Linked DNA regions of Pelodiscus sinensis. The protein of the gene in region 1 purifies or fractionates together with the protein of each later gene. This does not show direct contact. Links are inferred from orthologs where the notes say so. Each region holds a gene or a part of one and is shown in the gene's direction. Other genes may lie near its edges.

Region 1 (7,742 bases):
CAAGCACATGCACATGCTGGACACACGCACACATGCTAGACACAAACATGCACACCTACATACACGCTGGACACACACACGCACACACACATATGCTGGACACACGCACGCACGCTGGACACGCAGGCACACACAAACACCCGCTGGACACGCACACGCACACACGCTGGACACACGCACACACAAACACAAGCTGGACACACGCAGGCACACACAAACACACGGTGGACACACACACACACACACAGCTGCGCACACCCCACCCCACCCCACCCAGCGGCCTGTGTATGCACCGGGGTGCTGGGCCGCCCTCAGCCTCGCGCCACGGGCCCTGTTCTGTGCATTGCTCTCCGTGGGGAGCCCCCGCACGTCTGACGAGTAATTACCGCGCCCCGAGGCTCAGCCCGGCCTGCGGGCCCTCGGGCCTCGCTCCCTCCGGCCGGGCTCGGCTCGGTTTCACGCCCGCGCGCCAGGCCCCTGCCGCAGCACTTTTGTTCGGGGACACAAAGCAGGAGCCGGCCGCTCACCCCACACCAAGGAGCCCACGAGGCCAGCGCCTGCCGGGGCGGGGAGGGGGCATGGCGGAGCCGCTGGCCCCTCGGGCTCGGGGCGGGGAAGCGTGGGACCCTGGCGCGGTGCCCCCAGGAGGCACATGGCAGCAAAACGCTTTTATTCACCAGCTCCCGGGAGCCAGGCTCTCCCCCTCAGCCCCCAGTCTCAGCGCCAGGCCGGCGGGGAAGGGCCTGCGAGTGAGCCAGAGCTGCCTTGGCTTCCCGGCTCCCTGCAGGCTGCTTCCCTGCCCGTCACCTCTTCTCCGCGCCGCGCAGGCGCTGTGGGTCCCGGGCCCCTGCCAAGCCTGGGGCTGCACAAACCCAGGCCCGGCCCCACACCCGGCCAGCGCCGGGCCAAGCAGGGCAGGGACCCTCCCCGGTCCCCCGGCGCTGCCATGCACCCGCTTCTGGGCTGCGGCTCGGAGCAGGGACGTGGCGACTGGCTGGTTCCCCGCTAAGCCTGGGCCAGAGCAGCCCCTATTCCTGGCGGGCCCGGGCAGCCCTTGTCTGCAGCAGGGGCCAGCTCCACCCCCCGCCCGCCCTTCAATCAGTTACCCCACAGACCCCACCTTTCCTCCCTGCGCTGGGGTGTCTACGCAGCCCCCCACCCCAGGGCGCAGCACCTTGCAGGCAGGTTGGCAGCCCCCGGAGCCGGGTCTCGCCAACGCAGCCGCACCGGCCTTCTGCCTCGGGGGAGCTGCGTCCTCACTGCAAACCGGCAGGGCTGGGACGTGGGGCTCAGCCCCGGCCCCCGCAGGGTCCTCGGGCCCAGACCCGGGCTGCTCGTGCTAGGGCGCCCCCAGGAGCCAGGGGTTCACGCCCGCCTTGCTTAGGAGACGGGGGCCGGCAGGGGTCTCGGGTGGCCGCGGCCTTTCCCACCAGGGAGCCAGCCAGGAAGCGCCGAGACGCAGCCGGCAGGCGCCAGAGGCCCATGGTCCCAGAGCCGCTCGGGTGGGGGGCAGAGACAGCGGCTGGAGCCAGGTTTGGAGGCAGCCTGGCACTCGGAGCTCTCCTGTGGCCAGGACTGGCTAGAGGAGGCGGCTTCCCCCACCCGCGGTGGCAGCAGCTCTCGCAAATTCCTCCCCTGCCAGCCAGCAAACTCGGATGGGAACTGAAGCGCCGCCCGGCAGCCTTCCGCCCTGCCCTTCCTGGGCGCACCCTGCTCTTCCCCGCCTCGCTGGCAGAACCCCTCCCCCGCCCGCGCCTCAGTTTCCCTAGTGCGCAGCAGGGGAACCATGTGGGCAAGGAGAAAGCTCATGAGGCTTCGCTCTCCCGCAGCTGCAAACCGCCCCGGGATGTGCTGCAGCCCCGTGCTACAGGCGGGCGCGGGGAGGGAGGACTGCGCAGCATGACCGCCGAGCCGGGACGCCGCCGAGCCGGGACGCGACGCCCGCAGGCCCCCCGCAGCGGCCGACAGGTGTTTCAGGTTAAGAGTAAGACAAAGCCCCCGCTGGACCCCTACTGCAAGCAGGGCGCATTTCGGAGCTTGTAAATCAGGGCAGGCCCCCCGGCGGGGGGCACCCAGCCACTAACTGCTCCCTCCCGCCCCGGCTTATCCGCTACCTGATGGATGTCAGGACCCGGGCGCCAGGCTCGCAAATCACGGCCGCCTAGCGAAGCCCCCCGGGCAGTAGCTGAAGGAAGAACACGCAGAGGGAAGTGGCTGGGACAAGTTACTGCCATGGCGGGAGGAAGGGGGGCTCTGCTCGGGGCATGGGGCCAGTCTCAGCTGGGTGCGATCCGTCTTTTCTGTCCTTCCTGGCACAGGCTGGGAGAGCGGCGGGCTCGGAAACGCTCCCTGGGCTGAGGTTTGGCTCCTCCCCGTGGCTGTTCGGGGTAGGGAGCACAGGCCCCGGGACAGCAGCCTGGAGCAAACGGGGCTTTGTAAACTGGGGCGGTTTGACAAGGGGAGGGGTTTTTTGGTCCGTCTGACGCACACCCCGTCCCCTCTGCTTTCACTGACCGGGCGGCGCGCCCTGGAAATCCTTGGTGAGCAACATTTTCAGAGGTTGCTTGGAGTTCCCGCCTGCCCTCTGTACCCCCGAACACGAGGGACCGGACCTGCCCCCTACAGTACAAATCAGACCCGCTTTGCTTGGCCCCTCGGGGCTCTGAACAATTGTGCGCCCTGGGTCGAGCTAGCCCCCGAGGTGGGAACCCGGGGGTGATGGAAGAGTTTTTGTGTCGAGTTCACTACTGCCCCTTGGGGAGGTGGATGAGCTGGAAACCCCCTTATGTGGACGTAGGCAGCCTCTCTGTTACAGCACCGCAGCGACCTAGCACAGGCAGACCCACAGGCACGACCCCTCTCAAAAGAGGCAGGCCTGGGTCGTGGTTAAGGACAGGGGGACTGTGCTCTGTATGGAGCCAAGAATCAAAACTCCAGGGGCTACTCCTCACTCCGCCGCTGACGCGCTTTACAACCCTGGGCAAGTCCCTTAACCTTCCTCTGAGCTTGGTCCCCCGTCCTTAACATTGGTAAACTGATCTCTATTTCAGAGGGCTGTGGTGAGGCTGGATCAATCACACCGGGAGACACAGTTGATGCAGACACAGCTGAACCTGGTTTCAGCCCCCTCCCCCTGCACTAGCCCCCTTTCTTCTTCAAAGGGGTTTAGCTGGAGACCCTCCCGCGCACTGTCAGCAAACGCCAAGCCCCATCTGTCTCTTCCCGGCCTCCCCTGTGCGGAGGAAGCTGCTTATTCAATGCCAGGTCCCGCCTTGCAAAAGGCTGGGGAGTGGAGGGGCATTGGTGCACTGGACTTGACGATTTCTCCTTACCTTGCACAGGTGTTTGAGGGCAGGAGCATGGTCCTTTCGGATGGCAGCTTGGCTCTGCAAAGACTTTCTGGTGGGAGCAGAGCACATCACTTTCTGCAGGAAAGAAGCTCTCAGGCTCTTTGGAGGGCTTTTCTGTATTAGCTTATAGGGGTTGGAGCCTAGTCCTTGTGGGGAGCCCCTTGCTAGGCAGAGAAGTTGAGAGGAAGTTGAGCATGGCCCTTTTAGGGAGCCCCTGCCCTGCAGAAAAGTTTGCAGGGTTGGAGCAAGGTCATTTTGGGGAACCCCCATCCCAGCAGAGTATCTGGGTTGTGCGAGGGTCATGGTGCTTTGGAACATTCCCCTGCCGCTGGGAGATAAGTGTGGAGGGATTGGGCATAGCCCTTCTGGGGACCCCCAGCAGAGGGAGGGGGAGGGCGGGGACCCCCAGCAGACGGAGGGGGAGGGGTGGGGCATGGCCCCTCTGGGACCCACGCAGAGGGAGGGGGAGGGGATGGGGCATGGCCCTTCTGGGGACCCCAGCAGAGGGAGGGGGAGGGGGAGGGGTGGGGCATGGCCCTTTTGGGGACCCCCAGCAGAGGGAGGGGAGGGGTGGGGCGTGGCCCTTTTGGGGACCCCCAGCAGAGGAGGGGGAGGGGTGGGGCATGGCCCCTCTGGGGACCCCCAGCAGAGGGAGGGGGAGGGGCGTGGCCCTTTGGAGGACCCCCCAACAGAGGGAGGGGGAGGGGTGGGGCGTGGCCCTTTGGGGACCCCCAGCAGAGGGAGGGGGAGGGGTGGGGCGTGGCCCTTTGGGGACCCCCAGCAGAGGGAGGGGAGGGGTGGGGCGTGGCCCTTTGGGGGACCCCCCAGCAGAGGGAGGGGTGGGGCGTGGTCCTTTGGGGGACCCCCCAGCAGAGGGAGGGGGAGGGATGGGGCGTGGCCCTTTGGGGGACCCCCAGCAGAGGGAGGGTGGGGCGTGGCCTTTGGGGGACCCCCCAGCAGAGGGAGGGGTGGGGCGTGGCCCTTTGGGGGGACCCCCCAGCAGAGGGAGGGGGAGGGGATGGGGCGTGGCCCTTTGGGGGACCCCCAGCAGGGGGAGGGGAAGGGGGTGGGGCGTGGCCCTTTGGGGACCCCCAGCAGAGGGAGGGGGAGGGGTGGGGCGTGGCCCTTTGGGGGACCCCCCAGCAGAGGAGGGGGCGGGGCAGGAACGGGTCTCACACGGGCTGTCTGGAGCCCCGAGCCCAGCGCCTCCAGCACGTGGCTTCCCCTCGCCCCGGCGGCGGGACTACAACTCCCGAGACGCCCTGCGACGGGGGCGGCAGGGCCGCAGCCAATGGGAAGAGCCGTTGCTCGGCGGGCGCTGCCTGCCGGACGTGGTAGTCCCGCCCCGCGCGAGCAGGGCGAGCAGGGGGCGGCCGGGAAACTACGCATCCCAGGGGCCTTTGCGCCCGCGGGCGGGAGCCAATGAGCGCGGCGCTTGCGGCGCGGGGCGCAGGCGCGGTGGCCGGAACCTGCATGTGGAGGTCAGGAGCGCGAGGAGTCCGGGCCCGCTCGGGGGGAGGCAGAACCGGAGCGCGTGAGTCGCCCCGCCCACCGGGGGGAGGGGGGGCTGGAGGAGGCTGTGGGGACTAGGAAGGCGGGGGGGCTGGGAGGTAGGATGGGGGCGGGGGGGTTAGGTTGGGGGGCGGGGGGCTAGGCGGCAGGGCTGGGGGGCGGGGGGGTTAGGTTGGGGGGCGGGGGGCTAGGCAGCAGGGCTGGGGGCGGGGGGTTAGGTTGGGGCGGGGGGCTAGGCAGCAGGGCTGGGGGCGGGGGGGTTAGGTTGGGGGCGGAGGGCTAGGCAGCAGGGCTGGGGGCGGGGGGGTTAGGTTGGGGGGCGGGGGGCTAGGCAGCAGGGCTGGGGGCGGGGGGGTTAGGTTGGGGGCGGGGGGCTAGGCAGCAGGGCTGGGGGCGGGGGGGTTAGGTTGGGGGGCGGGGGGCTAGCAGCAGGGCTGGGGGCGGGGGGGTTAGGTTAGGGGGCGGGGGGCTAGGCAGCAGGGCTGGGTGGGGGGGTTAGGTTAGGGGGCGGGGGGCTAGGCAGCAGGGCTGGGGGTGGGGGGGTTAGGTTAGGGGGCGGGGGGCTAGGCAGCAGGGCTGGGGGTTGGGGGGGTTAGGTTAGGGGGCTGGGGGCTAGGCAGCAGGGCTGGGTGGGGGGGTTAGGTTAGGGGGCGGGGGGGCTAGGCAGCAGGGCTGGGGTGGGGGGGGTTAGGTTGGGGCGGGGGGCTAGCAGCAGGGCTGGGGAGGGGGGGTTAGGTTGGGGGGCTGGGGGCTAGGCAGCAGGGCTGGGGGTGGGGGGGTTAGGTTGGGGGCGGGGGGCTAGGCAGCAGGGCTGGGGGTGGGGGGGTTAGGTTGGGGGGGCTGGGGGCTAGGCAGCAGGGCTGGGGGTGGGGGGGTTAGGTTGGGGGCGGGGGGCTAGGCAGCAGGGCTGGGGGTGGGGGGGTTAGGTTGGGGGGCTGGGGGCTAGGCAGCAGGGCTGGGGGTGGGGGGGTTAGGTTGGGGGCGGGGGCTAGGCAGCAGGGCTGGGGGTGGGGGGGGTTAGGTTGGGGGGCGGGGGGCTAGGCAGCAGGGCTGGGGGTGGGGGGGTTAGGTTGGGGGGCGGAGGGCTAGGCAGCAGGGCTGGGGGAGGGGGGGGTTAGGTTGGGGGGCTGGGGGCTAGGCAGCAGGGCTGGGGGAGGGGGGGTTAGGTTGGGGGGCGGAGGGCTAGGCAGCAGGGCTGGGGGAGGGGGGGTTAGGTTGGGGGGCTGGGGGCTAGGCAGCAGGGCTGGGGGAGGGGGGGTTAGGTTGGGGGGCGGGGGGCTAGGCAGCAGGGCTGGGGTAGCAGAAAACAAGGCTGGGGGCTGGAGAGCACGTCTGGGGGGCTATAAGGAGGGGGGCGCAGGGCTGGAGGAGGGTGGAGGGCTGGGCTGGGGGATTTTCGGGGGCCTGGTGAGGCGGGGGACGAAGCAGAGGGTGCCCTAGCCATGGCGCTGTCTGGAAGGGAGGTGCTGGGAGTCGAGGAGCCTTTCAGGGCCTTGCCCTGCTGCGGGACACGGAGTGAGGTCTGGAGCCTTTGCTAGGTCTGGGTGTCTGGGGCCTAGAGATAAGGGGAGCTGCAGGGAGAGGCTGGTGTGAGGTGCTGGGCTGAGGAAGGGGAGCTTGAGGCGAGATCTGCCTGGGCAGGGGCCTGCCGCTCTTCCTGTTGTCCCTGGGGATGGGGGTTATTTATTGTTCCATCCTACAGAGAGGGAGGAAGACCTGGGCTCTGGGAGCAGGACCTTTCTAATACGTGTCCTGGATTTTTTTCAGGTGTGACTCAGGCTGCAGTTGGACTGAGAAATGGCTGCCAGACTCTTTGAGAACATTGGCAAATTTGGTTTAGGATTAGCCATCGCAGGGGGCGTTGTCAACTCCGCTCTCTATAACGGTGAGGCGCCGACGAGGCAGAGCCCTTCCCGCTCTGTTGAAACGTTCAGCTTCACAAAGTAGGGTGTCCCGTTCAAGGCATCCGACTCCGTAGACTCCGCTCTAATTCCGAAGTGTGTTTTGAAAATGGTTGGGATGGAGCTGAATTAACATTTCTTTACCAGGAATTGGTGAAGCTGAGATATTTCTAAGAGACTATAAACTTGCCTTGGGATAGTTAGGATCAGCTACTCTGTGAGGATGGGGAGAACTAATTAATTGGCCTTCAGGCTTGGTTGGTCTGCTCCTTGTGTCGTCACTCACACCACCATAAAACAGGGATGTAAGTGACTAGTTGCCTACCCATTAAACATAAGCTTACTGCTCACCCCTCTGCCCCCTCCCCCCCGGTGCTGCCTCTATCAGGCAGCAAGGGGGGTGGGGGGGAGCAGGAGCTGGTGCTGGGAGAGCCGGCTGAAAAGCCAGTTTCCCTAGTACTGCCTCTGCAGGGGGCAGGGGAGGCAGAGGCGTCCCTACTGCTGCGCCTCTCCCTTTGAACGAGCCCGCACCTCTTGTACATTTCAAAGGGAGAGGTGCAGCAGTATAGTGAGCCCCCCCTCCCCCCCACATCGAGTACAGGAAACCCCCGACTTCCGCCCGCCTGAGTTCCGACCCCCCCCCCCCCCCCCGCACTTACAATCATTTTTGTAAGTGCAGAATGGGCTGAAAACCCCTGACTTACGTCCTCGGCCCGCATATACGACGGCACACGGCACCTATCGTAAATGAGGGTTTGACGTATGATGCCCCCGACTTGCGACGCTTCCCTGGGAACCAAGTTGGGGGCCGCCTGCAGCCAATGGAAATTCCATCAACTACTCGGTTGATTAATGAAAACGTAACATCCCTAGCACAAAATAGGTGCAAAAGGCTGGCATTCTTAACTGTTAGTATTTGAGGAGCCAGAAGTTGTTTTATCAGTTGCTCTCCTACTGTCTGACTTGCTTGACTTTGGGC
Region 2 (7,550 bases), on another chromosome or scaffold:
TACATTTAGTTTTCATGTCAAGGCTCAAAGTTATACAAAGTAAATAAGATTCTGCCACTCTTTCTTATTCTCAGGCAAGCAGAATTGCATTATCAATTCAGTCTCAGCTAAAAATAAAGTTACGTCTCTTGATTAATAACACATCTGGGAGAATTTGTTATTAGGGAATTTTAGTGCATATTTTTTCTTCAGTGGGTACCAGCTTCAGAAGGACATTGCACTCTCAGAAAGGCACGTGAAAGAAGCCATAATCCTTCAGAATATATCTTGATTTTAATAGTAAATCAGTATGTGCTTGCCCAGTAATCCCTTGAGCAGTTGTGAACAATAATTAATTGTATAGAATCTTGTTACATATGTCTCATCAAAATAGAAGCTAGCAAATCCCCCCCCCCCCAAACCATCTTTTCTATCCATGTGCGGATTTTTTCCATCCATGTGCGAAGTACATTTCTTTTTGTGCACTGAGGCATGTGCAGATACGCTCCACCATAAATAAAATAGAAATAAAAATCTAGCTATGGTCTAGGGATCTGAAGGACTAATCAACTTGTAGCTTCCCCCACTTCCTGCTTCTATCAGATAGAGACAACAACAGGGGGAGAGAACAGAAGGGTACTTCAAAGCGGCAGTGCTGCACTGAGCCCAGGTTCAGCTGCTCTGTGCGGCGCTGCCGCTTTAAATGCCATGGTGAGCCCGGCATCAGGCTCCACCCAGCATTTCAAAGTGGCAGCACCACACAGATCCCGTGGTCAGCTGGAGATCGGCTGGGCACTGACCCTGGGCTCTGCAGCAATGCTGCTTTGAAATGCTACGGGCAGCTGGACATCAGGCTCCTCATGGCATTTCAAAGAGGCAGCACCAGTTTGAGCCCAGGATCAGCTGGGAACTCCCCAGTTCTTATATTATGGGAACAAGTAAATAACTTTTCCTTATTCACCTTCTCCACACCACTCATGATTTTATTACCTCTATTATATCCCCCCTTAGTCTCTTCTTTTCCAAGCTGAAAAGTCCCTGTCTCTTTAATCTCTTCCCATATGGGACCCGTTCCAAACCCTTAATCATTTTAGTTGCCCTTCTCTGAACCTTTTTTAATGCCAGTATAACTTTTTTGAGATGAGGAGACCACATCTATATGCAGTATTCAAGATGTGGGCGTACCATGAATTTATATAAGGGCAATAAGATATTCTCAGTCTTATTTTCTATCCCTTTTTTAATGATTCCTAACCTCCTGTTTGCTTTTTTGACTGCCACTGCACACTGCGTGGATGTCTTCAGAGAACTATCCATGATGACTCCAAGATCTCTTTCATGATTACTTGTAGCTAAATGAGCCGCCATCATATTATATTTATAGTTGGGGTTATTTTTTCCAATGTGCATTACTTTACATTTATCCTCATTAAATTTCATTTTCCATTTTGTTGCTACACTTCAAAGGCAGAGGCTCCCTATCGACTATTCGATTAGTTAATTACTTGATACTTAACATCTTTACAGTGGTCACTCTGCTAATCAACTGTACAGCATTTGAATCCTTCTTGAGTGGTGGCACAAGTGCATAGCTTATAAGGAATGCTGCCCACATCTTTTTAAAACAATGAAAAATTGTTTAAAAAACCCCCCAAAACGTATATATTAACATTAAAAACATTAACATTAAAAACACAATATATGGAAGACTTGCAAATTTATAAATGGGGCAACTTCATTTGTAGTGAAGTTAAGAGTCCCAAATTGATTCCTAGCACACAACTTTCAAACTGGAGTTGTAATAGTAACCAGGTTAATAATGATCAGAAAATTCTGCTTCAGTCATGGAAGACAAAATTACTCCCCTCATGCATCTTAAGAATTGGATTCAAATTTATTGTCTACAGCATCTCTCCGAGTTACGGACCAAACACTTGGCCATAACTTGATCTGTTCCTAACTCTGATCCCATTGAGTTACACGCGACTGCGCTGTTCGTAAGCGCGGGTCGCGTTCGTAACTCGAGGGCCTCCTTTATGACTGCTCCATGGGAACTTTGGGCGTAAATGCGAACAATCGTAACTCCACTGTTCGCAACTCGGGGAGCGGCTGTATAAAAATAATTATTTAGCTTTCTCTTTACCTTTATATTCTGACTTTGCCCTAATATTCCAGATTCACATTAAAAGATTGTGGATATTTTTGTTATACTTTGTAAACTGTTTGAAATTCCTTCTAAGCATCTTTTATTTATTGTCATAAAACAATGTTTAGTTTTATTTTATTCACCCTATGAAATAACTGTAAGTGGCATTGCCACAGAGAAAAGTAAGGTTCTTGAACATTATCTTAGCTAACCACAGATGTTGAGTGGCCACAGTGGCAACATGGAGCAATGGATAAAGCACGGGTCTTCATTATAGATGAGGATTTTCTTTCTTGTGAAGACTGCTAGTCAGAAGTTTGGATTAGGGATGTGAATGGGTAACCAGCAATTTGATAAGCATCATCCTTCCCAGTTGGTGCTTATTGGCTGCCAGTTAACCAGTGCTTGGGAGTAGCCTCTCACTCATGGCCCTCTGTGAGCAGAGGGTGGACCCCCCTGGTGCCAGGTGCTGGTGGCAGACCTCAGGCCGGGAGTCACCTGCTGTTTTAAACTACACTAAAATGAACAAGCCCATCAGTTCTTTTAGATCAATTTATAGACCTAGTGACATAAATATAACCTCCCCAAACCACTGCCAGAGTCCAGCACTGCTACTGCTCAGCCCCTTGTTACACTGTACAGATGTACTTTCCTTAAAAATGTAGCCCGATTGACACAATTGATGTTTCTTAACACTCCTCCCCTCCCCCAAATGAGTCTGCTTAGGATGTTACCAACATTTATTTTCTGCCTTCTGTTCATAATCCAGCACTTTATAATCTAACTAACATATCTTTCATTGTATTTATACTAGAACATTTATTTGTACTTGTTTTCTCACTTTCAGTGGTCAACGGATACAGCATGTTCTGTGTTTTGCTTTTTTCCAATCATTGAAAAGCCTACTTTGGTGATAAATGATTGACATGAATGTTGTTAATAGCTTAGACAGTATTACATTTGAAAGTTATACTGTTATGGAGGCTTTAGTAGTTGTCAAGCAAATGAATTTGTGAAAACTAGATGACTTATTTATTTTATGTATATTTACACAGTCAATTTGTGTGATACATTCTTGCTGTCTAATGTTTAAATTGCCACTGATTGTTGTGTCAAGAACAAATTAGTTTGTGAAGAAGCATTTAATTTGACCTATGTAGTAGTTATGGTTGACTTTCATAATACAAAATGTGGCACAGTACAGTTTTATGAAAGAAATGAGATCCCTTCTGGTAGATGGAAAAGGGTCTGTGTTTACTTTTAAACTGTCAAATTTTATTGTGTATTTTGAAATGCAAGAAAACTGTCTACATTCACCTTTGCTGTGTGATGGTGAATATGCCCTACTACAGTTGACCTTAGGATCAGGTCTGGAACTTTTTAAGATTGGATCCATAGTAAATGCTCTTTCGAAATTTTAAAATTGAAAGCTTGGGCTATGTCTAGACCGCAAGCCTCTTTCGAAAGAGGCTTTTTCAAAAGATACTTTTGAAAAAGCCTCTTTCGAAAGAGAGCGTTTAGACTGCACGCGGAACTTTCGAAAAAGCAAGCCGCTTTTTCGAAAGAGAGCAAGTGAGTCTGGATGCTCTCTTTCTAAAAAGCCCTGTTTGCTTTCAAGAACACCTTTTTTCAAAAGAGCACTTTCGAAAAAGGCGTTCTTCCTCGTGAAATGAGGTTTACCGCCGTCGAAAGAAAAGCCACGTTCTTTCGATTTAATTTCGAAAACGCGGCTGCAGTCTAGACGCAGGTGAAGTTTTTTCAAAAAAGGCTACTTTTTTCGAAAAAACACCTGAGTCTGGACACAGCCTTGGTGTCCTTTCTATCTTACTGATATATGAAGTGGTTTCCTTTGGTAATTTTCACATATAGGACCCACTTACTGTTTCACAAAGAAAGTCTTTATTCTCATGCCTCCTTTCAAGCTGCATATCATTATGGCAACACACAGAACATTCCTAGAATGGAATTTTATAGCAGTTATTTATTTTTGCTTTAAAAATGTCTCATATTTATCAGTTGCATTTTTATATTATTGCTGACCTCTTCCAAAATCAAATTTATTCCCATAGAGCTGTTATATTAAAGAACAGTTTTGGTGGTGGCTTGCACATATGATAAATAAAACATCAATAAGAATTTTAGTCTAAAAATTGTCTGTGCAGAGGATGATGCCATGTTTATAAAGTTAAATTGCTTTGTCTAGAAAATATGTCCAGTAAAAAGTCTAAAATATATACATTTATACAACGTTCTTGTCTGATTTAATTTTAATAGTACAAGTGAATTGTCTCAATCTGGAAGTCAGCATTTGAGGAAAGTTGGTTTTTTTTTATTATTATTAAATCATTTCATATAATCATACATTACCATAAAATACTAGTTTCGATTAGATTTTTATCATTGCAACTGAAAGGTCAAATTGAAAAACAGATAGCAAGACCTATTGGTTAAAGGAAAGCTATAGATCCTGAGGATGCTGAAAATTACTTGGAAAGTTAACAGAAAAAGTTATGTTGTAGATACCAATCACAGGTTTGAAAATAGGAGGTCTGTTTTTCTTGTTAGTATGATAAAGCTTTGTTTTATAGCTAAGTTCAAAATGAAATGTCACATGTTCTGTTTTTCTTTGTCCACCCTCCACGGAGTCTCCTTCCTTCCCAGTATTGATGATGAGAAATATCTTGTATAGTACAGATTTCCATGCAGGAGAATCTGAATGCCCTCCAAAGTATATTTATACAGATTCACTCAACTATAACTCACTCAGAGTCAGAAAGCGTGACAGCCAGAGGGACAAGCGGCAGCCAAGGTAGAGAGAGGGTAATTGATGACTCAGAATAAATACTAATGTAAATCCTTAGTAAGATTTAATAAGATCTTCAACTTGTTGTCATCTCCAGTTGGGGAGGACCTCAGTTTTTAAGATTTGTGTAGGCTTCGTTTTGTTTAAAGCCCTACATACGTTAACAGTTTGATACTAAACTGATCAACACTGGATCTTAAAGGACATGAATTGACAATGCTCTGAGCTGAATCTATTCTCACGGAGCCTGTTTTACATCTGACAATTTAGATTATTCACCTAATAGCCTCTGAAACCACAAATTCAGTAGATTTTCCCCCCCCCCCCCCTCACATGTTCACTCCCTGCTTTTAAGTAGTCTCCATAATGGCGGTAAGGTAACAAGGTCAAAGTTCCAGGGATCGCTCTATCCCCAAGCAGCTTTGTTATTAGTAGAAATTGCATATGTGTATCTCTTGAACATGGTTGAGATTAGATTAAAAGTCAGTTCAGAAATAGACTTCATATTACATTATTGCATGATAACCTTATATTTTGTTTTTCAGAGATGCGTGATAAAATGAGGAAGTGGAGGGAAGAAAACTATCGGAACAGTGAACAGATAGTGGAAGTTGGAGGAGAATTAATTAACGAATATGCATCCAAGCTTGGGGATGACAGTAGGTTGAAATTATTTCAAAAGTTTCACTGTAATTGGAATAGGGATGTTTAATATAGATTAACTAATCAAATAATCAATGAGATTTCCATTGACTATTTAATTAGTCAGTAAGTGCGCCGCCACCTTTGAACTATAGCAAGAGCTCTGTCAGGCTCTTGCTACAGTTCAAAAGTAGAAGCCCATCAGGGAGCATGGAGCCAGAGGGGTACTGGCCTCACGCTCCCTGCGGTGCCTGAGCCTTTCATTTCATTTCATTTCATTTCATTTCATTTCATTTCATTTCAAAAGCAGAAGTCCTGCAGAGAGTGTGGGGCCAGTGGGGAACTCCCATATTTGCTCCAAGCTCCCTGCAGTGCCTGAGCCTTTGAAGTGTACAAGAACCCTTGCAGGGCTTCTGCTTTTGAAATGTACAAAAGCCGTGCCAGGGCTCTTGTAGATTTCAGAACGAGAATCGGAGCAGATCCTGCATGAGCCGAGACTGCTTTAGTCCCAGCTTGCCCCGTTTCCAACTGTGCCTCTACCTCTCCTGCCCTCTGTGGAGTTGGTGCTGGGGGGAACCAGATTTAAAGCTGGCTTCCCTCCAGCACCTGCTCTCCCCTTTGCTGCCTTTTTCTGATAAAGGCAGCAAGTGGGGGGAAAACAACTAATCACATCACTAATTGACTATCCAATAAGCTTATGCTTATTGGATAATTGACAAATCGCTATATCCCTCAACTGGAACAATTTTTATAGTGAGGGTACTGAGAGCTATTGAGCCAATCTCTAAATCCTGTATATAAATGGTATGTTGGGGTGCTGCAGCATTCATAGAATCATAGAGCTGGAAGAGACCTCAGGAGGTCATTAAGTCCAGCCATCTGCCCAACTAAATCAACCCAGCCAGGGCTTTGTCAAGCCAAGACTTAAAAACCTCTAGGGATGGAGATTCCACCACCTCCCTAAGTAACCCATCCCAGCACTTCACCACTCTTCTAGTGAAATAGCTTTTCCTAATTTCCAAACTAGACCTCCCCCACTGTAACTTGAGACCACTGCCCCTTGTTCTGCCATCCGTCACTACTATGAACAGCCTTTCTCCATCCTCTTTGGATCCTCCCTTCAGGAAGTTGAAGGCTGCTATTAAATTCCTCCTCACTCTTTCTCTTCTGAAGACTACACAAACCGAAATCTCTCAGTCGCTCCTCATAGGTAATGTTCTCCAGCCCTCTAATCATTTTGGTCGCCCTCTGTTGGACCCTTTCCAATGCATCCACATCCTTTCATAGTTCCATTACCTATGGTTCGGCCCTTAGGATGGGTACACATTGGCAAGTCATAAGAATATATTGTGAACATTTGGCTGAGATTGTATTATTTAGGTATCATTCAACAGGTTATCTTCACTTCCGAGGAATGGGAAAAATTATAAGGGGAGGGTTTTTTAATAAGGATAAGGAAATGTTATATCTTTAACTAAGCCGTAAGTAATATTATGTTGTAGAACTTAATGTGAAAACTGTTCTTATGACAGAATTGTATTTGTGATGCTATTGTATTTGTGATGCTATAGTTTAGTCATGTCTGGGTTTCTGTAATATATTCTGTATTACAGAATGGCTATTTCCAGAGAATTTTTATGACACTATGTCTTTCTGGACAGAAACTTGGCAAAAGGGAGTTGTTCAGGAATAACAATGCAATATCACTTTTTATGTAAGAGCAGTAGAAAAAACAAAATATTTAATGACAAGAATCATATAGTAGCCCAATGTCTGTGACTCTAACGCTGAAATGCTGGCTGCTCCCTCTGGGCGGCTCTTTTGCCTGAGTCGCGCTCTTCGCCTCCTGCCATGGCACTCGACTGACTTCTGCTACACTCAGCTAGGCCGCCGCGGGGGAGCAAGTGGCCATTTGGGTGCTGCGGTACGTGCTGCAGGGGGAGCGCGGGTCCTAAACGGTTGCTTGTGCCGTTTGCTCCC
Region 3 (7,890 bases), on another chromosome or scaffold:
GTCAATATTGTCTAATACAGGGGTGGGGAATCTAAGGCCCAGGGGCCAGATGTGGCCCCTGGCTTACCTGGATCCAGTCTCCAAGGCTCAGGGATCCTCCCCCCAGGATTTTTTTTGCTTCTCACTTTGTGTGTGGCCCCCGACTGACTTATCTGTGAGTCAGCAGCCCCTGACACAAGAAAGGTTCCCACCCCCAGTCTAGTAGCATTACCAACACTTCCATTGCTTACTGGGCTCTTAGAAGACATTTAAGGGTAAATTAGAGCTAAACAACAGCACAGAACATTGAGTGCCAGAATTGGTGGCTATAAACAAACTTTATGGGACAGCAGGAAACTTTGTTGCACTCATGATAAGTGGACATCAGGCTAACTGAAATCATGCCAGACCATAGATGTTGCCAGACTAGAGAGGTTCAGGTTCAACCTGTACATGTAATAAACCAAGTCTCAACATAGTGGTACCTGTAGAATGATACAACTAGTATAGGGTCAGATTCCCAACTGTGCGAATCCGCATTGCCAATGAGGTCAAATCTGTTCATGAAGTCTTATAAATCCTAGCTTTTAGAGAATGTGGATATTGATTCTAAATTAACTTATTTCAATTTTTTTTTTGTTAAGATTGTCCCATACTATGGTGTTATGTTTAGCACCTTTGAATTCTGCAAGCGGGTATGTCTCTACAGAAATGGTTATATCGAATCTCCCTTAAGCTACAAGCTAATTCCTGGAGTGGATCAGAGTTTACAACCACAAGAGCTGCGAGAATTAAAACTCCTCCGAAGAGGAAATTTTGAGCCGCCGAAGCCAACTCTTGAAAACTGACGTTGGAAAGCTCATTGAGTAAATGTATGTTGCAGTCATTCTTGGCCAAGTCCACAACCTGAAGAAAGCAAGGCAGAAAGGAAGATGCATTGCACTAGAGGTAGCAGCACCTGGTTTACTGTGACTTTCCCGGAGTTTGAAACTCTTGTGTCAAACATTAATAAACTTTGTAACCCATGTAGTGAATTGATACACTCAATTCAAGCTCATCAGAAGGACACAAACATTTTGAAACTATTATGATTCTGGAGCTTGAAATCAACTAATTTGGGGATATTTTCAATGATAAATAGCTTTTTAATACTAAAACCACTTGTAAAGAATAAGTGATGTGAGCCATGATCATAAATTGGGATTGATTCTAAAATAAATACATTTGTAACATTTGAGGACACTGAACACGTGGCCTTCAGAACAGATACATGGTTTAAAATAGACTAAAATATATACTGTATATAAGTATTTTTACTGAAATCTGTCACTAGTGCAATATGGACATGGCATTCTAGGTATGCAGTATTTGTCCTCGGACAGTTAACACTTTTGTTAGCCTTAGTCATCGTACTTCTTGTTTTCAGCTTTTGTAAGATTTGAGAACTGAATAATTTTCTCAGTGCTCAGTTGCAAAGAAAAATGAAAACATACTACAGAGGTATTTTTGCCAAGAAAGAATAGTAATATATGAAACCGCACTGAAATGTTCTAATAGTCCTAAATGCAAGCTGAGATTCCCCCCCCCAATCCCCCCCCCCCACACACACATGTATATTTTTGCCATTATCTGAATTATTTCAGCTTTGGGGAAAAAACAAAACTGTGTATATGTTATGTTCATTTTTGTTATGACTGACTATGCCTACTACAGTGTGAAAAATGCAGATGCCAAATGGGTTAGATAATTAAGTGTTAACACCCTTACATTGATATTTTTAAAGATGTATTTTATATTAAAATAATTTTCACAGATGAAAGTTTTATGGTTCGATTAGAACAGTACTATGCAATACCTAGCCTTCCCATCTCCTTACAGTCACTGTGGTGGTCCCCTTTAAGTGCTGTGACCTACAAGTCAATGTATTGTCATGCTTTTCCGAAGAGGGGATGTTAAACAGTAAGGAGAGCTACAGTGTGTGGACTAGTTTATCCCTAGCTTAGATAAATGTCATTCAGGGACTGGCCCTCAGATCAGTAAGAAATGGTTGCTGGAATCGTGATTCTTCCAGGTAAGTGTAAAGTTTCTCCAGGTGGCATTGTGACACTCAGTCACATCTGACACTGATTCCCTGTGCCGTCATAGCCCAAGTGCCACACACTGCACTAGAAGGCAAAGGCTAGTCAGAGGTAGGGGTGCTGGAACAATTTTTATAGTAAGGGGGCTGAGAGCTGTTGAACCAAACTGGAAACCCTACTGAAAACCACTTCAAGCCAAGGGTGCTGTAGCACTCCCTCTCCCCCACCTTCCTGCCCCACTCCCCTAGTTCCAGCACCTATAGTCAGTGGCACTGAGTTATCCTCCCTGACAGAAAATTAACCTTGGTTCACCTGGGGAAATACGAAGAGGTAGAAAGTGGTGTTTGAATTCAATCTTAGATGTAAGGAGTAAAGCCATTGAGAGCCAGAATAACCGCAACCTTCTATTCTGGAACACTTGACAATGGTGAGCAAAGTCTTACGGCAGCCCTGTAACAGTGAAGTATTAAGGGTTCCATTTAACAAATGGTATGTGTGTCTGCCCCAGTTCAGCCCTGGTGTCAGCTGATGCTTTTAACTGCAGTTGCTTCTGCTTCCACTAGAGCTGAAATTTGATCCAGAAAGGTTCAGCCTGTACACCAAGGCAGGGGAAAGGCTGGGAACATAATTTGTCCTTTCTTGCTTCCCAATTCTTGAGTCCAGCACACTGTGCTCCTTCATCTTAGAACGGGAATAGTTTTGATACCTTTTAGGTGTGCAGTTTCTAACAGATGAATCAAGAAGCAGAGTAAATTATCAAACTTTAAGGGCTGCACCTAGAAAAGTGGCCTAAGTTAACCAAGATAGACTAGTCTCTCATACTTTTTATGAATGGTGTGTTGACCTACTTGGCAGACTTAGCTAGGTCCTAGGACTGTTCCATCCCAATTGTTTTTGATGGGTTCTGCTACCTTCAGGCCTGCTGATGGGGGAGAGGAGGAAATTGCCCTGGGACCTGGCAATACAAAAGGGCCTAGGCCTTGCTGCCACTACTGTTGGAGCCCAGGGCCCTTTAAATTGCTGCTAGGACATGGTGCAGTGCACTCTGGGTAGCATTGAGGGTGGAGGAGGGGCACACTGCCTTTCAGGTGGCACTGAGGGCCTGCTACCCAAGGCCCCACTGCCCAAGGCCCCCCCCCCCCACACACACACATACACTCTCTCTTCTGCAGACTAACCTTGCTTTTTTTTTAGGAATTCTTAACCTTAAGAGATTGAATTCAATCACTATGTATAAGCCAGCCAAGCCTTGGAGCTAATGGGCAGGGTGGGAAGCTGCCATTTGTGGCTCGGTGAGCCTCACCTCTGCTCACTGCAGCCTGTGGCCTGTACTTAAGGGCCACTGAAAGGATACTGCTAGATGGATCTTTGGTTTGACCCACTATGGCTGCCTTATGGCTTGAATGTGATGTAACAAAAACAGACCTGTATGCAGGAATTTCTGTGTGTGCGCGGGGGGGGGGGGGGGGGCTTTTTTTGTAAATGTGAACCACAAGGCTGTGAATGCTCCCCCAAGTGAGCGGGCAATTCAGCCCTAGCCTTCCCCCTGCCAGCCAGAGCATGGGAGGGAGGATCCAGCAGCATGCTGTTCCTGCTTTCTCTTGGCTAGCCAGAGCATGCTGACTTGAAAGACTATGGGGGGTGCTTTCTCACCCTTCACTCCCTGTGTACAGGTCTGAAAAAGAAAATGGGACAAAAGGCTGAAAAAAATAATCAGGAGGCAGACCATCACAGGATCTAAGATTTAAAGTTATATCTCTCTGGCCCTACCCTACCGCCTAGAAACTGAGGTGGGATTGAAGTAGGTAGGCTGGTGAAGAGGAAGGTTTATTGAAATATTTAACAAACAGAGATTTTTTCTGTCTGTTGAAGTAAGTGACAGTCCACTGCTGGGCAATGACAGACTTGGTCCAGGCACTGAGGGTACATCTCCACTGCAGAGGAAGATGGAAGTTGCTGTCGATCTTCCAGGATTTGAATTAGCAGTTAAGACAGCTCATTTGCACTGAGAGGGGCACTCCTGTGGACGCTGGTCACCCTCATTACAGGAGGAGCAAGGGAAGCTGAAGGCAGAGTGCTCTTCCTTTGACTTTCTGCTGTGTGGACAGCACCAAAAGCCCAGTTAAGCTCCTTGGACCTCAGCTATGCAGTGAATGTAGCTGACGTTACGGCGCTTAATTGGACTTTGTCCAGTAGAGTAGCTGTGCCCTGACAGACTCTTTCAGAAGCCGCCTTTGAGTTCAGCACTGGGTTAGCCCACAGCTCTGTTGCAGCCAGGGCTCTGAGCAGCCTTCCCCACCACAGGTGCGCCTCGGGCTCCGCGACTCCCACCTCCACCTCCTCTGCCCCCGGGCGCCTGTGATGAGTGACTCAGGCCTGATGCTGAGTTCGGGCGGGGGCGCCCAACCCTGTTTCCATGGCAATGGTGTCGGGGCAGGCAGAGGCTTTGGAGATGCGCTGCGCTCTGTATTTCCCGGGGGTTGCCTAGGAACACTCCCGCTTGGCGTCACGCGCTGAAACCCAAAGCAGCCCCCTTCCCTGCAAACCCTGCCCGCTCCCTGCTCCTCCTCCTGCGCCCAGCCAAGGGCACGGAGCCCAGCCTCGCCCTGGGATGATGGAGACCCCACCTGGTCACTGGCGCTCCCAACAGCGTCAGGTGTGGGGGGGCGCCCAAGCTTCCCCCCCCCCCCACTCCCAGCCGGTCCCTCCCCGGCCCAGCCCTCCTGCTCGCAGCCAATGGGCGGGGTGGGAAGCTGCCGTGCGTGGCTCCGTGAGCCTCACCCCCGCTCGCTGCAGCCTGCGGGCGGTATATAAACCCGCCATTTGCAGCCGCCCGGCCTCAGAGCCCGCGGGTCCCCATCAGCAGCGGCCTCCGCAGCAGCCTCTCGCTCCCCGGTTCTAACTTATTGACCTTCCCGCCGCCCCTCGCCATGGCTGACGCCGCCGTGTCCTTCGCCAAGGATTTCTTAGCCGGGGGGGTGGCCGCAGCCATCTCCAAAACAGCCGTCGCGCCCATCGAGCGGGTGAAGCTGCTGCTGCAGGTGGGTTGGGGGGCGTCCGGCTGGGGGGTGCCCCGCTCCCTGGAAGGCATCCCCGGGCAGGAGGGCAGCGCTGATGGGTCGGGGAGGGCTAATGCCCCGGGGCTGGCCGGGGAGTGCAGCGACTCCCACCCGGGGATCGCCCCGAGGGGGGTTCCGAGCGCCCTGGGCGCGGGGAGAGGCCGGCCCCGCCGCTGGCTGCAGCTTTGTCTGGCGCTGGGCCGCGGCCGCGTGGTGCATCCGCGGGCCAAGGCGATGCCGCGGCGCTGATCCCTCCCCAAGGTCGCTCCAAGGAGAGGCCAGGCCCGAGCATCCCGGGGCAGCAGCCGCCCGGCCTGGGGAGGGGAGACGGGTCTCCGCTGCCGGCGCTGCCCCCGGCAGCAGGGCTGTGCCTGGGGCGAGGCTCCGCTGGTCCCGCCCGGTCCCGGCCTGGCCCTGCCCGAGGAGACGGTCCCCTGGGCCCGCTCCTGTGCGGGCGGCTGGGTCCCCGGCCCCGGGCGCGTTTCCCGGCCTCAAGCTGGAGTCCCGGCTCCTGCCCCGCGGGGGGCCCTGGCCAGAGCCGGAAACCACCCGCCGGCAGCGATCGGCTCCAGCTAGTTCCGCTTACGCAAAGCGGTGCCGGGCCCGGCTCGGCGTGGAGCGAGGTTTGCAGCAGCCTCCTCCCCGGCGCTTCCCTGCAGGCTGGAGCCACTTCCCCCGGCGCTGCGGGATCTCGCGGGGCGCTCGGACCCGCAGCTAGGCACCGCTTCCATGCGTCGTGCGCTAAAACCAGCAGGCAGAGGCAGGCCGACGCAATATCTAGCCCGAGGAAAGCCATAGAGCGGCCCGGTGACCTTCCAGGCCCAACTCCTCCCAAAAGATAAAGACACGCTGCTACCTTGGCTTTGCTCTCTACAGGGCGCAGTTCTGATCAGGCAGACTGCTGCCTCTTGGAGAATAGGGAACAAATACGATGTGGCAACGCATATTTTGCTTTTGAAAAAAGATGGGATGTAATTCTACTCTAAAGACGTTCTTTTGGCTGTCGCCCAGTAGGTGTGCGCCTTCTTGCTGCCAAGCAATTATTTAAAAAAAAAAAAAAAGTTCGTCACCGGCTGACTTTCACCTCTGGGAGTGTTCTGAGGAGGGTTGCTCCGGAAAATCCTTGCAGAACTAAATGGAACCAGAAAGGGCTTTATTAACACTCCACCCTAAGATAAGAGCACTTCCTGTTTCTGGGTCAAAGGAATAGTAGGTGATCACCTTGGAATTCAGCACTCAGCCTTTCTATCCATTCCAAGAATCTATTGCACTGACATCTGCTAGAGGACAGTGACAGTTCTCACTGAGGCAGCCTAGGATGCTTAATGACACTTTTATGATGAGGCTTGGCAAACTTTGATTTTTTTTTTTGAGGGACAATATTGATCATAAGCATTTTTATTTTATCAATTTAAGTTTGCACCATTGCAAGGAAATTATAGGTCACACACTTACTTAATGACAGTAGTCAGATTCAGAAAGTAAAAGCCTTATCATGAACACTGATGTTTCCTTGAAGATACTTTGCAATTTGTATCTCAAAATGAGATTTCAAATGGCATTTTTCTTACATTGCTTATCTTTGTAAATGTAATCCTTCCGCACCTAGTCATAACAATCAAAGTTTAAAAAAACCTCTATCTTGAGTCTTAACCAAATTTAAGTGACCCACACTTAATCTTATATTCATTCTTGTTTACTAGTAATTTATCTTCATAAAACCATACTCATTTTATTTCATAACAGGCTTTCAGTGTGTCTATCCAGACCCTGGAATCAGAGGCTTAATTGTCAAATGCAGTTTGAATTATGCATTTCTAACTAATAAAAATCATGAAAACTTCATAAATCCAGATCTTCAGGCTTGTAATTTTATCAGCATGGTGAGATGTTAATCTAGCTTGTTTCTCTGTTCTACAGGTGCAGCATGCAAGCAAACAGATTACAGTAGACAAGCAATACAAAGGCATCATGGACTGTGTTGTCCGTATCCCCAAAGAGCAGGGTTTCCTGTCCTTCTGGCGTGGCAACCTGGCTAATGTGATCAGATACTTCCCTACTCAGGCCCTCAACTTTGCTTTCAAAGACAAATACAAGCAGGTCTTCCTGGGTGGCGTCGATAAAAGAACCCAGTTCTGGCGTTACTTTGCCGGCAACCTGGCCTCTGGTGGTGCTGCTGGTGCTACATCTCTCTGTTTTGTCTACCCTCTTGACTTTGCCCGTACTCGTCTGGCAGCTGATGTGGGTAAAGCTGGAGCAGACAGAGAATTCAACGGTCTTGGTGACTGCCTAGTCAAGATTTTCAGGTCTGATGGTCTTAAGGGCCTGTACCAAGGCTTCAATGTGTCCGTGCAGGGCATCATTATCTACAGAGCAGCCTATTTTGGCATCTATGACACTGCTAAGGGTAGGTCTTTTGAGTTAACTTCCTAAAATGCAGCACAGACTTTTAGGCCAAACACTGGATTGTAATGCAGAAAAATTATTTACTTTGGTGTTAACATACAATGATTTGGTGTTCTTAATCTGCTCTCTTCCCTCCCATAGGAATGCTTCCTGACCCAAAGAACACCCACATCATCATCAGCTGGATGATTGCTCAGACGGTTACCGCTGTTGCGGGTTTGACTTCCTATCCATTTGATACTGTCCGCCGTCGGATGATGATGCAGTCAGGGCGTAAAGGAAGTAGGTTTCTAATTCCCAACTAGAATATAATGGGGTGGGCATTCTCAAAGAAACACCTCTATATCCAGAGATGCAAGATGGGTGCA
Region 4 (7,863 bases), on another chromosome or scaffold:
ACCTAGTTGCTGCCTACCCTGATCTCTCAAGATCCACCTGGTATTCATGTGTCCTTCCTAAAACCTCACACGGAGCGTGCGTCTCTCCCACCAACACATGCCCAAAGCCAAGAGGCATAGGTCATTCATGAGCACCACCCCGAGCAGCCGGGACCTGCAGTGCCCAGAGGGAAGCTTCGGGGAGGGGGTGATGACTAGCCTACGGGTCTAAAACCTGCATGGTCATGGGAATCACCGTACTCCAGTCCTCCCCCCGGCTGATCACAGACAGCAGCTGGAACCAGGGTCCAGGAAGGCCAACGAAGTAACCAACTCTGCTCTGATGGGAAGAGATCCAAGGCTCCGGATGGGGCTGCAGCCCCAATTTAAGCCACAGGTGGAAACAAGAATCTGATTGTGGGACTGGGCTTCACCCTGCCGCGGACCCCTGGTCTGTCTCTGGTGCCTGGCTCCTGACCTCCTAGTACCTTGACTCAACCCGATTCTTGATCCCTGCCCTCTGGTTTCTCTCTTGATTCTCATCTCCTGGCGTTCCAGCTTGGCCTTATTCCTTTTGGTAATTAGTTTACCAAAACAGAGCATCCTTCTCCCTGCCTAAGGTCTCCAGACCTGTTCTCCATCCCGGCACACGCCAGCCCGCTGGCTCACCCTACCCAGCAGAGAGGGTTCAGACAAGACAGGCCCATGCAGCCGTGGTTCCAAGCCCCAGGTCTGTCTGCGCTAGTAACATAAGCCCAGAGCTGGGACAGCTGCCTAGAGAAGTCTGAGCCAAACATGAGGAATATCTTTGCTAGGGGAAAGAAACCAAACCCACATTCAAGAGCTCAGCTTCTTTGGCTTGAGCTTCCCAGCCATCTCCCCCTCGTGAAACCCGAGAGATTCTGTCTTTGGCTCAGCTCTGGCTAGCCACCCTCCATCTCTGCAACGTGCAGAAATGTGACAGCAAGAGATAAGCCCTGGAATACCTTCAGCACAGGCCCAGGCGCAAATGGGCCTTCAGCCACACTGGAGACAGGATGTGAAGTCTCTGTTTTCTACCCAGCGTACATGGTGATCTGATCCCTTAGCTCCAGGCATGTGAGAAAGCAGGGACGAGACAGACACCGGAGCCAGGACTGGGAGCTCCTGCTGCAGCTGGGTGGGACAGAAAGCAGGAGCTTTCTTGGGCAGGGAGACTGGCGCCAGACTGACCTGGGATGGAGTCGGGATAGAGCAAACCCTGGGCGGATTCTAGTGCCGTCTATACTGGGGTTAGGTCGACTTAACAACATTGCTCAGGGCTGTGGATTTTCCCCCCAGGGATGTAGCTGGGTCAACCTAATAGTTTTGTGTAGACCAGGCTGCAGCAACTGTCGGTAAGAGCTGATCTCACCCGCCCTGGTAGGACACAAGGACTGCATCAAGACTGGCAAGTTTTTCCACAAAAGCAGCTAATTTTGCGGAAAAACTTGCCAGCTGTCTACACTGGTCGCTTGAATTTCCGCAAGAACACTGATGATCTCATGTAAGATTGTCAGTGTTCTTGCGGAAATATTATGCTGCTCCTGTTCGGGCAAAAGCCCTCTTGCGTAAATGATTTTGCACAAGAGGGCCAGTGTAGACAACACAGTATTGTTTTGCGCAAAAAAGCCCCGATGGCGAAAATGGCGATCGGGGCTTTCTTGCGCAAAACCGCGTCTAGATTGGCACGGATGCTTTTCCGCAAAAAGTGCTTTTGCGGAAAAGCATCCGTGCCAATCTAGACGCTCTTTTCCGCAAATGCTTTTAACGGAAAAACTTTTCAGTTAAAAGCATTTGCGGAAAATCATGCCAGTGTAGACGTAGCCAAGGAGTGGGGGCAGGTTCGGATGACACCTGCTTATAGCCAGGGGTTGTGGCCAGCTGAGCACAGCTCCCTCTCCTGCTTAGCAGGCATGCAAACAGCTCCTCTGGTTTCACTACTGCCGAGGGGGCCTGCCAAGCCCTTTGCAAATTCTCCGTGAGTTCCCACGCCCCGCAGCGAGGAGGGGCACTGAAATTAAATCCCAGGCCACGCGGAACGCCACCAATTCTAGATTCAGCCATGAGGCTCCCCGGCTCCTCTGGGGGTGTCGGCAGCTCCAGAGCAAAGCGGATTTGTCAGGTGGGACTAGGCTTGATTGGGTGCTTCCCCCAGAGGCAGCTGAGGCCAGCAGTCCGGGTGTGAACTCAGAGGCAGCCCAGTGGTGAGGTTAAAGGATGAACGGGCACAGCGCCCCTGCTAAGGCACAGCAGATAGGAACTCCCAGTGAAGAGCAGACTGCACCTTTTTGGGCTGGGGCTGCCACCCCGATATTGCCCAGCACAGCGGTGTCTGGATGCACGGTGGGCTTGAGTTGGGGGAAAGGCTCCCAGTGCAAGCAGGAGCCCTGGAGCATGGGCAGCCAGCCACCCTACCATACTTGGGGATGAGACTCCCTGCAGGGCCTGGTCACTGGTGCTAAATTGAGCGGCAGCCACAGAGGATGTGCAAGGAAGGAAAAAGCAGAGGCAGCTGCTTCCCCTTCAGGCTGGGTCATCTGAGGCTGCCCGTGGGATTGTCCAACCAGCAGCCCCAGCTCTTCCGGCATCCTACAGGAAAGCCAGACAGCAAAGACCATCCCATCCCCTGGCCATCTCTGCTCCTCTGGGCAGGGGAGCCAGCCCCTGTCAGCAAGACCTGGGTTAGAGGGACAGGAGGACAGCGGGTGGCTGAGGATGCTAGCTAGTGCCGTGTCTGTCCCAGCAGCACATGGGATATCAGCCCTTGGAGAGCAGAGCCCCACAAACCACAGCCCAGGCCCCATCCCTGTCCTCCCCCACATTAGGAATGTCTGTGAGGGATGAAGCCACAGCCCAGAGGGGGAGGGCAGAGGGCCTGTCTGGCACCGGTGGCTAAGGATGGGGAGTAAAGATTTCCACTGACTCACCGCAGCCTCCCCACAACACAAGCTGCACCCTCAGCACCCCACCACAGTACAGCCGGACGGCCCCGCTACAGGCTTCTACAGAGTCAGACATATGTGTCACAACCTCCCAGCACACACAGCCCCACCACAAAGGGACACACACCAGCTCAAATGACACGCACAACACCCTGCCTGCAGATGTGCACAACCCCCGTCGCGTACAGACACAACCTACACACACGGCCCTGAGTCTGTAAATATGCACAGCCCCCCTCCTCAACACAATCTACATACGCAGGCGCACACTCCCCCCCCAATTCACACACAGCCCCTCACAAAGCAGCTCCCCAAGCAGCTTCCCCCAAAATGCTAGTTCCAGCACACTTGGCCCCTTGTCTCATAACAGGAAGAGACCTGCACCCCTCAGATCTCAATGCTCGAGCTGAGCAGAAGCATATGCCGGCTGCCGGCCCTGCCACGCCACAGGGCACAGGGCAGGCGCTGTTATGCCTGGGCTAAGGGGTCTCAGGGCAAGTGCTGAGCGGCCAAGCTAAAAGGCTGCAGGGCACAGGGCAGGCATGACACTCCCAGGGGACCTAGCTAGCTAAGGACAAAGGCTGGGTGCTGGAGTCATGGGATTCTGAGCCTGAAGGTCTGCTCCAGGAGCCCCCTTGTGGCTCTCATTTTCTGCAGCAGTGAATTCCCAGCCGCTGGCTGAAGAACCCAAGTGGAGCGACTTTTTCCTTCCCCAAGGCCTTCCAGCTCTGGCTCCCAAGCATCCTCATTGACCCTCAGAAGAGCGCCACTGCGGGGGCCTGGCTGCTTCCCAGCATGGTGTGTCAGAGGCTGCCTGCGCTGTTCCCACTGGCCAAAGCAGAGTCAGAGCTGAGCTCTCCAGCAAGGCAGCAGGTCTGAGCGGGGTGTGGGCTTGTCCTGTTGCCGATCTCCCGGACATCCGCAGCTGGTGACACGGCCGGTTCCAGCCCTTTGGCCTCCCATTCAGGGCTGTCCAAGCAGCTGCCTAAGTCTCTTCCTCTCAGCTGCTTATCCTGGATTTTACCCCAAAGGCAGAGCTTTGGCTTAGTGCCCAGCGGGGTCCCAGCTCGGTCCCACTGCACTCCACAGCCCCAGCCCAGTGCCCCAGGGTGGCAGCAGCCCAGTTGCCATAATCATGGTAGATAATCTTGGCTCCACAGGGACAGACATGACGCTGAGGTGCTGCCCACCTTAGCAGACGGCCCAGTAGTCTGCCTGTTGGAGTGACAGCCCCAGGAGCAGGAGCCAGGCTCTAGCAGAATAAGACCCAGGGTTGCGTTGCCAAACCTCGCGGCCAGCTGCAGGCAGCAGGAACCGGCTGACAAGGATCCCTGGGAATCCCACCAGCCCCAGGTCCTGCTCCTCCCTCTCTGCATGCCCAGCCTTGCACTGAGCAGCCCCGGCTCTGCTGTTGCTGTTCGCCAGAGGGCCTGGCTGCTCCCTGCGCAGCCCCGTGCTGCGGGGTGTCCCAGACCCCAGCACTGCAGGCGGCTCAGGGACAGGGCTGGAAGCCAAGGGTGCATGCGGGAGGGAGGCAGGGGAACTACGTTCCGTTCCCTGGAAGTTGCACAGGCTTAGGAGGGCGGGGGGGGGGGCAATGAGAGGGGACCCAAAATCTGCCTCATTGAGCGCCCAGCTCTGGGGAGCTGCGGGTGAGGGGCTGGGCCCAGCCTGTGGCTGCCCAGGCCCTGCACTTGGGAGCCAGTCCCACGAAAGGATCCCGTGGGGCACAGAGCAGAGAGCCAGGCCAGCCCAGCTGCCCTCATCCATCATGGCACCCTGCTGCTTCGCCAGCACCGGCCGGGCAGGGAGCCTGCCCGCACTAAACATGGCGGCCTCTACGCCGCGGCGCCGGCGCGTTGCCCCCGCCTTTGCTCACACGCCTCCTTTGCCCTCACTTAATATGGCGGCTCCCCGCCAGCTTTCCCTACGGGGCTGAAGCTGCCCGGGGGCGGTGGCGGGGTACTTCCGGCCCGGCTCGCCGCGGCGCCGCTGGGAAGATGGCGGCGCTCAGGGCTCTGCGGAGGCTGCGGGCACCTTCAGGGTCATGGCTCCGGCTGGGGGCAGCGCCGAGCAGGTGAGACCCCCCCCTCCCCGGCGTTTCTCCCCCCTCCCCCTTCGGCCCCGCTCCCCATTTCCCCGCCCCCTTTTCCGTTGGAATCTCCCCCTCCCCCCCCCTTTCCCGGTATCTCCTCTCCCTCCACGCCCCCCCCCGGGCACCCTTTTCCCTGGCATCTGCCCCCACCCCCTTCTCCTGCCCCAGCGCTTCCTCTCTGGCACCCCCCAGCTCCCCCTGCCCTCCAGGCATCCGCCTCCGTCTTCTGACCCCCAGCACCGTTCCCGCCTCCCCAGGCGTCTCCCCCTAGGCTCCTGGGATCCCTCCTCTTGTCCTCCCGTCCCCCCTCCCTGCACCTCCCCCGGGTCTGCCCCTGTCCCCCAGGGATCCTGTGTCCTGCGGGGTGTCTCTTCCCAATCTCCTGGGCATTGTTCTCTCCCCCTTTCGGGTCCCCGTCTTCCGTGGGACGTTCCCCGCCCTCCCCAGATAAACCTTCCTCCACTTCTTTGGTACCTCTCCCTTGCCTCTTGAGACCACCCATTTTCTTGGGGGTCATTCTTGTGCCTCCTGAGCATTGTCATCCGCTGCGCTCCCTGGGGACCCTTCCTCCTTCCCCCAAGGTATTACCAACCCACCTGGGAGGCCTATTTTTTCCCCCCCTCTCATAGACTTTAAGGTCAGAAGGGACCATTATGATCATCTAGTCTGATCCCCTGCACAGTGCAGGCCACAGAATCTCACCCACCCCTCTTAGAATAATCCTCTCACCTATATCTCAGATATTGAAGCCTTCAAATACTTTGATGGCCCCAAGATGCAGAGAATCCTCCAGCTGTGATCTGTGCCCCATGCTACAGAGGAAGGCAAAAATCCTCCAGGGTCTCTGCCAATCTACCCTGGAGGAAAATTCCTTCCCGACCCCAAATATGGCGATCAGCTAAACCCTGAGCATGTGGGCAAGACTCACCAGCCAGACACCCAGAGATCCCAGCGCATGCCATGAGGCTGTTCCATTATTACTCTTGTGGCAGTGAGCAGGCCCCGGAAACTTACCTCCTGCAGAAACCAAATTGGCTGTAGATGTTGAGTGTAGCCCATGTGCCTGACTAGTTCCCATCACTGGGTGGCTCCGGGGGTGGGGTGGGGGGGCTGTCATACAACCCCCTGCCTTGTGGGGCCAGATGTAGGTGGTGCCCTTGTGCCAGAGTGGGCATACTGTACATTGGGCATCCCTCAGATGTCCTTGCTAATGGCCATTGATCTGGGGACTAGCTAGCTCAGACACTTTGAATGAAGCCTTGCTCTCCAAGGTTACCAGTTTGAATCCTGCCAGCATAAGTCTGGGCTTTGGTGGTTTTGGAAACTAGATGAGTGGCTGTCTTGCTCACAGTGCATGACTGTCCATTGCAAAAGTCACCACCACATGGACGCTAACGGACCCTTTGGCAGAGAGGGATTGATGGGGCTATTACACCTGAACTCCCTTCGTCCTTAGACGAGCCCCACTCGATCAGGCTTGAGGGTGGATGGTAGGGAGCCAGGTGTTGAAGCTAGTACTGCTGCTCCCCAAACTAGGGAGAAGTAGGCTCCACGGCTGCCAAACCTCATGCTTCCCATGATCAAGCTCTCCCGTACAAGGCACAGTTTCACTTTCAGTCCCCTTTGTTTCCCATCCTTCCCCACTTGCCTGGCAACAACCCCTTTAAAAGCCTACAGAGTCTGAGACTAGAGACAGGCAGATTGAATGAAGTTGTCAGTTTGACCCCCTTTCCTTCTCTCCACGTCTAGAGGCGCCAAGCAATGGCAGCCGGATGTCGAGTATGCCCAGCAGTTTGCAGGTGCAGTCATGTACCCCACCAAGGAGACAGAGAAATGGGTGGCTCCTCCCTGGAATGGTGAGTTCTGCCGGAGGCAGCTGCCCCATTAAATGCACCATTGTATTGGCGGTTTGTCACATTTTAAGTTCAGAGCCAAACTCACCATGGGGGGCTGGAAGGGGGTAGCCCCACCTCTGTGAACGTTGCTGGACTTACAGTGGAGTAGCCCACTTGGTCCTGATCCTGGTGTGACCTCTGTGTAGATGCACCCCTGCGTCTTCATGAAGCACATTGCAGAACCAGATCCCAGCGGAAAAAACAATAGTGGGAAAACATGTGGTCAGCTTGGGGAGATCTTCCTTAGTTGAAGGTGATGTGGTTTTTTTTAAAAGATTTCTTTTAATAGGCACCTCTCTTTTTATAGAAGCGATTCCTTGGTTTTTATTTTAATGTAAATGGAAACAGGGTTTTGGATTTGAAACTTCTCTTTGCTGCATTAGAATCCCAAACACAACTGCTTTGGGCATGAAACAATGATGGCAACAGGTGTGCTAGCACTAGCTATCACCTTGCGTTAGAGCGGGGTGGGGAACCTTTTTTGCATTGGGGCCAATGACCCACAGAAAAATCAGTCGGGGGCTGCACACCAGTGAGAAGCAACATGTAAAGGTCCTGAGCGAGAAGGAAAAACACACTCCTCACATTCCCCTCCCACACCAGAGCCTAGGGGCCCCAGGCTAGTAGATTTTCTGTGCACCATCCCTGTGGGTGGCAAGGGGGCTGGAGCACCATCGTGGGCTCCCCGATTCAGGGGGGATCCCTAAGTCTTGGGGGCCGGATCCAGGCAAGCTGGAGACCACATCTGGGCCTGAGGCTCCCCACTCCATGTTAAAGAGAGCTTCAGGTTAGTCTGTTTTAACACAGCCAGACACTGTGAGACGTCTCTGCTGTGCGAGACGTTTTTAAGACATTGTGGCTACGTCTACACTGGCCCCTCTTCCGGAAGGGGCATGTAAATTTCAAGAGTCGTCGTAGGGAAATCCGCGGG

What was found.
Region 2: the proteins of PHB1 (region 1) and EMC2 purify together in Homo sapiens (affinity purification with mass spectrometry; 3 studies listed by BioGRID and IntAct, with this or other methods). This does not show direct contact. The link is inferred for Pelodiscus sinensis from reciprocal best matches to the Homo sapiens genes PHB1 and EMC2.
Region 3: the proteins of PHB1 (region 1) and SLC25A5 purify together in Homo sapiens (affinity purification with mass spectrometry; 3 studies listed by BioGRID and IntAct, with this or other methods). This does not show direct contact. The link is inferred for Pelodiscus sinensis from reciprocal best matches to the Homo sapiens genes PHB1 and SLC25A5.
Region 4: the proteins of PHB1 (region 1) and NDUFS2 purify together in Homo sapiens (affinity purification with mass spectrometry; 3 studies listed by BioGRID and IntAct, with this or other methods). This does not show direct contact. The link is inferred for Pelodiscus sinensis from reciprocal best matches to the Homo sapiens genes PHB1 and NDUFS2.

What each region holds. Positions count from the first base shown.
Region 1 is NC_134739.1:14,661,948-14,669,689, reverse strand, and holds the start of PHB1 (prohibitin 1), read left to right. Parts: upstream 1-4,729; 5' UTR 4,730-4,884; intron 4,885-6,629; 5' UTR 6,630-6,659; coding exon 6,660-6,747; intron 6,748-7,742.
Region 2 is NC_134712.1:29,928,598-29,936,147, reverse strand, and holds the start of EMC2 (ER membrane protein complex subunit 2), read left to right. Parts: upstream 1-4,535; 5' UTR 4,536-4,825; coding exon 4,826-4,934; intron 4,935-5,473; coding exon 5,474-5,587; intron 5,588-7,550. UniProt on the Homo sapiens protein: Part of the endoplasmic reticulum membrane protein complex (EMC) that enables the energy-independent insertion into endoplasmic reticulum membranes of newly synthesized membrane proteins.
Region 3 is NC_134723.1:34,222,773-34,230,662, reverse strand, and holds the start of SLC25A5 (ADP/ATP translocase 2), read left to right. Parts: upstream 1-4,879; 5' UTR 4,880-4,987; coding exon 4,988-5,098; intron 5,099-7,036; coding exon 7,037-7,523; intron 7,524-7,663; coding exon 7,664-7,804; intron 7,805-7,890. Other genes in the region: SLC25A43 (solute carrier family 25 member 43), read left to right, coding at 624-827.
Region 4 is NC_134734.1:13,655,975-13,663,837, forward strand, and holds the start of NDUFS2 (NADH dehydrogenase [ubiquinone] iron-sulfur protein 2, mitochondrial), read left to right. Parts: upstream 1-4,857; 5' UTR 4,858-4,942; coding exon 4,943-5,019; intron 5,020-6,786; coding exon 6,787-6,893; intron 6,894-7,863. UniProt on the Homo sapiens protein: Core subunit of the mitochondrial membrane respiratory chain NADH dehydrogenase (Complex I) which catalyzes electron transfer from NADH through the respiratory chain, using ubiquinone as an electron acceptor. Essential for the catalytic activity of complex I.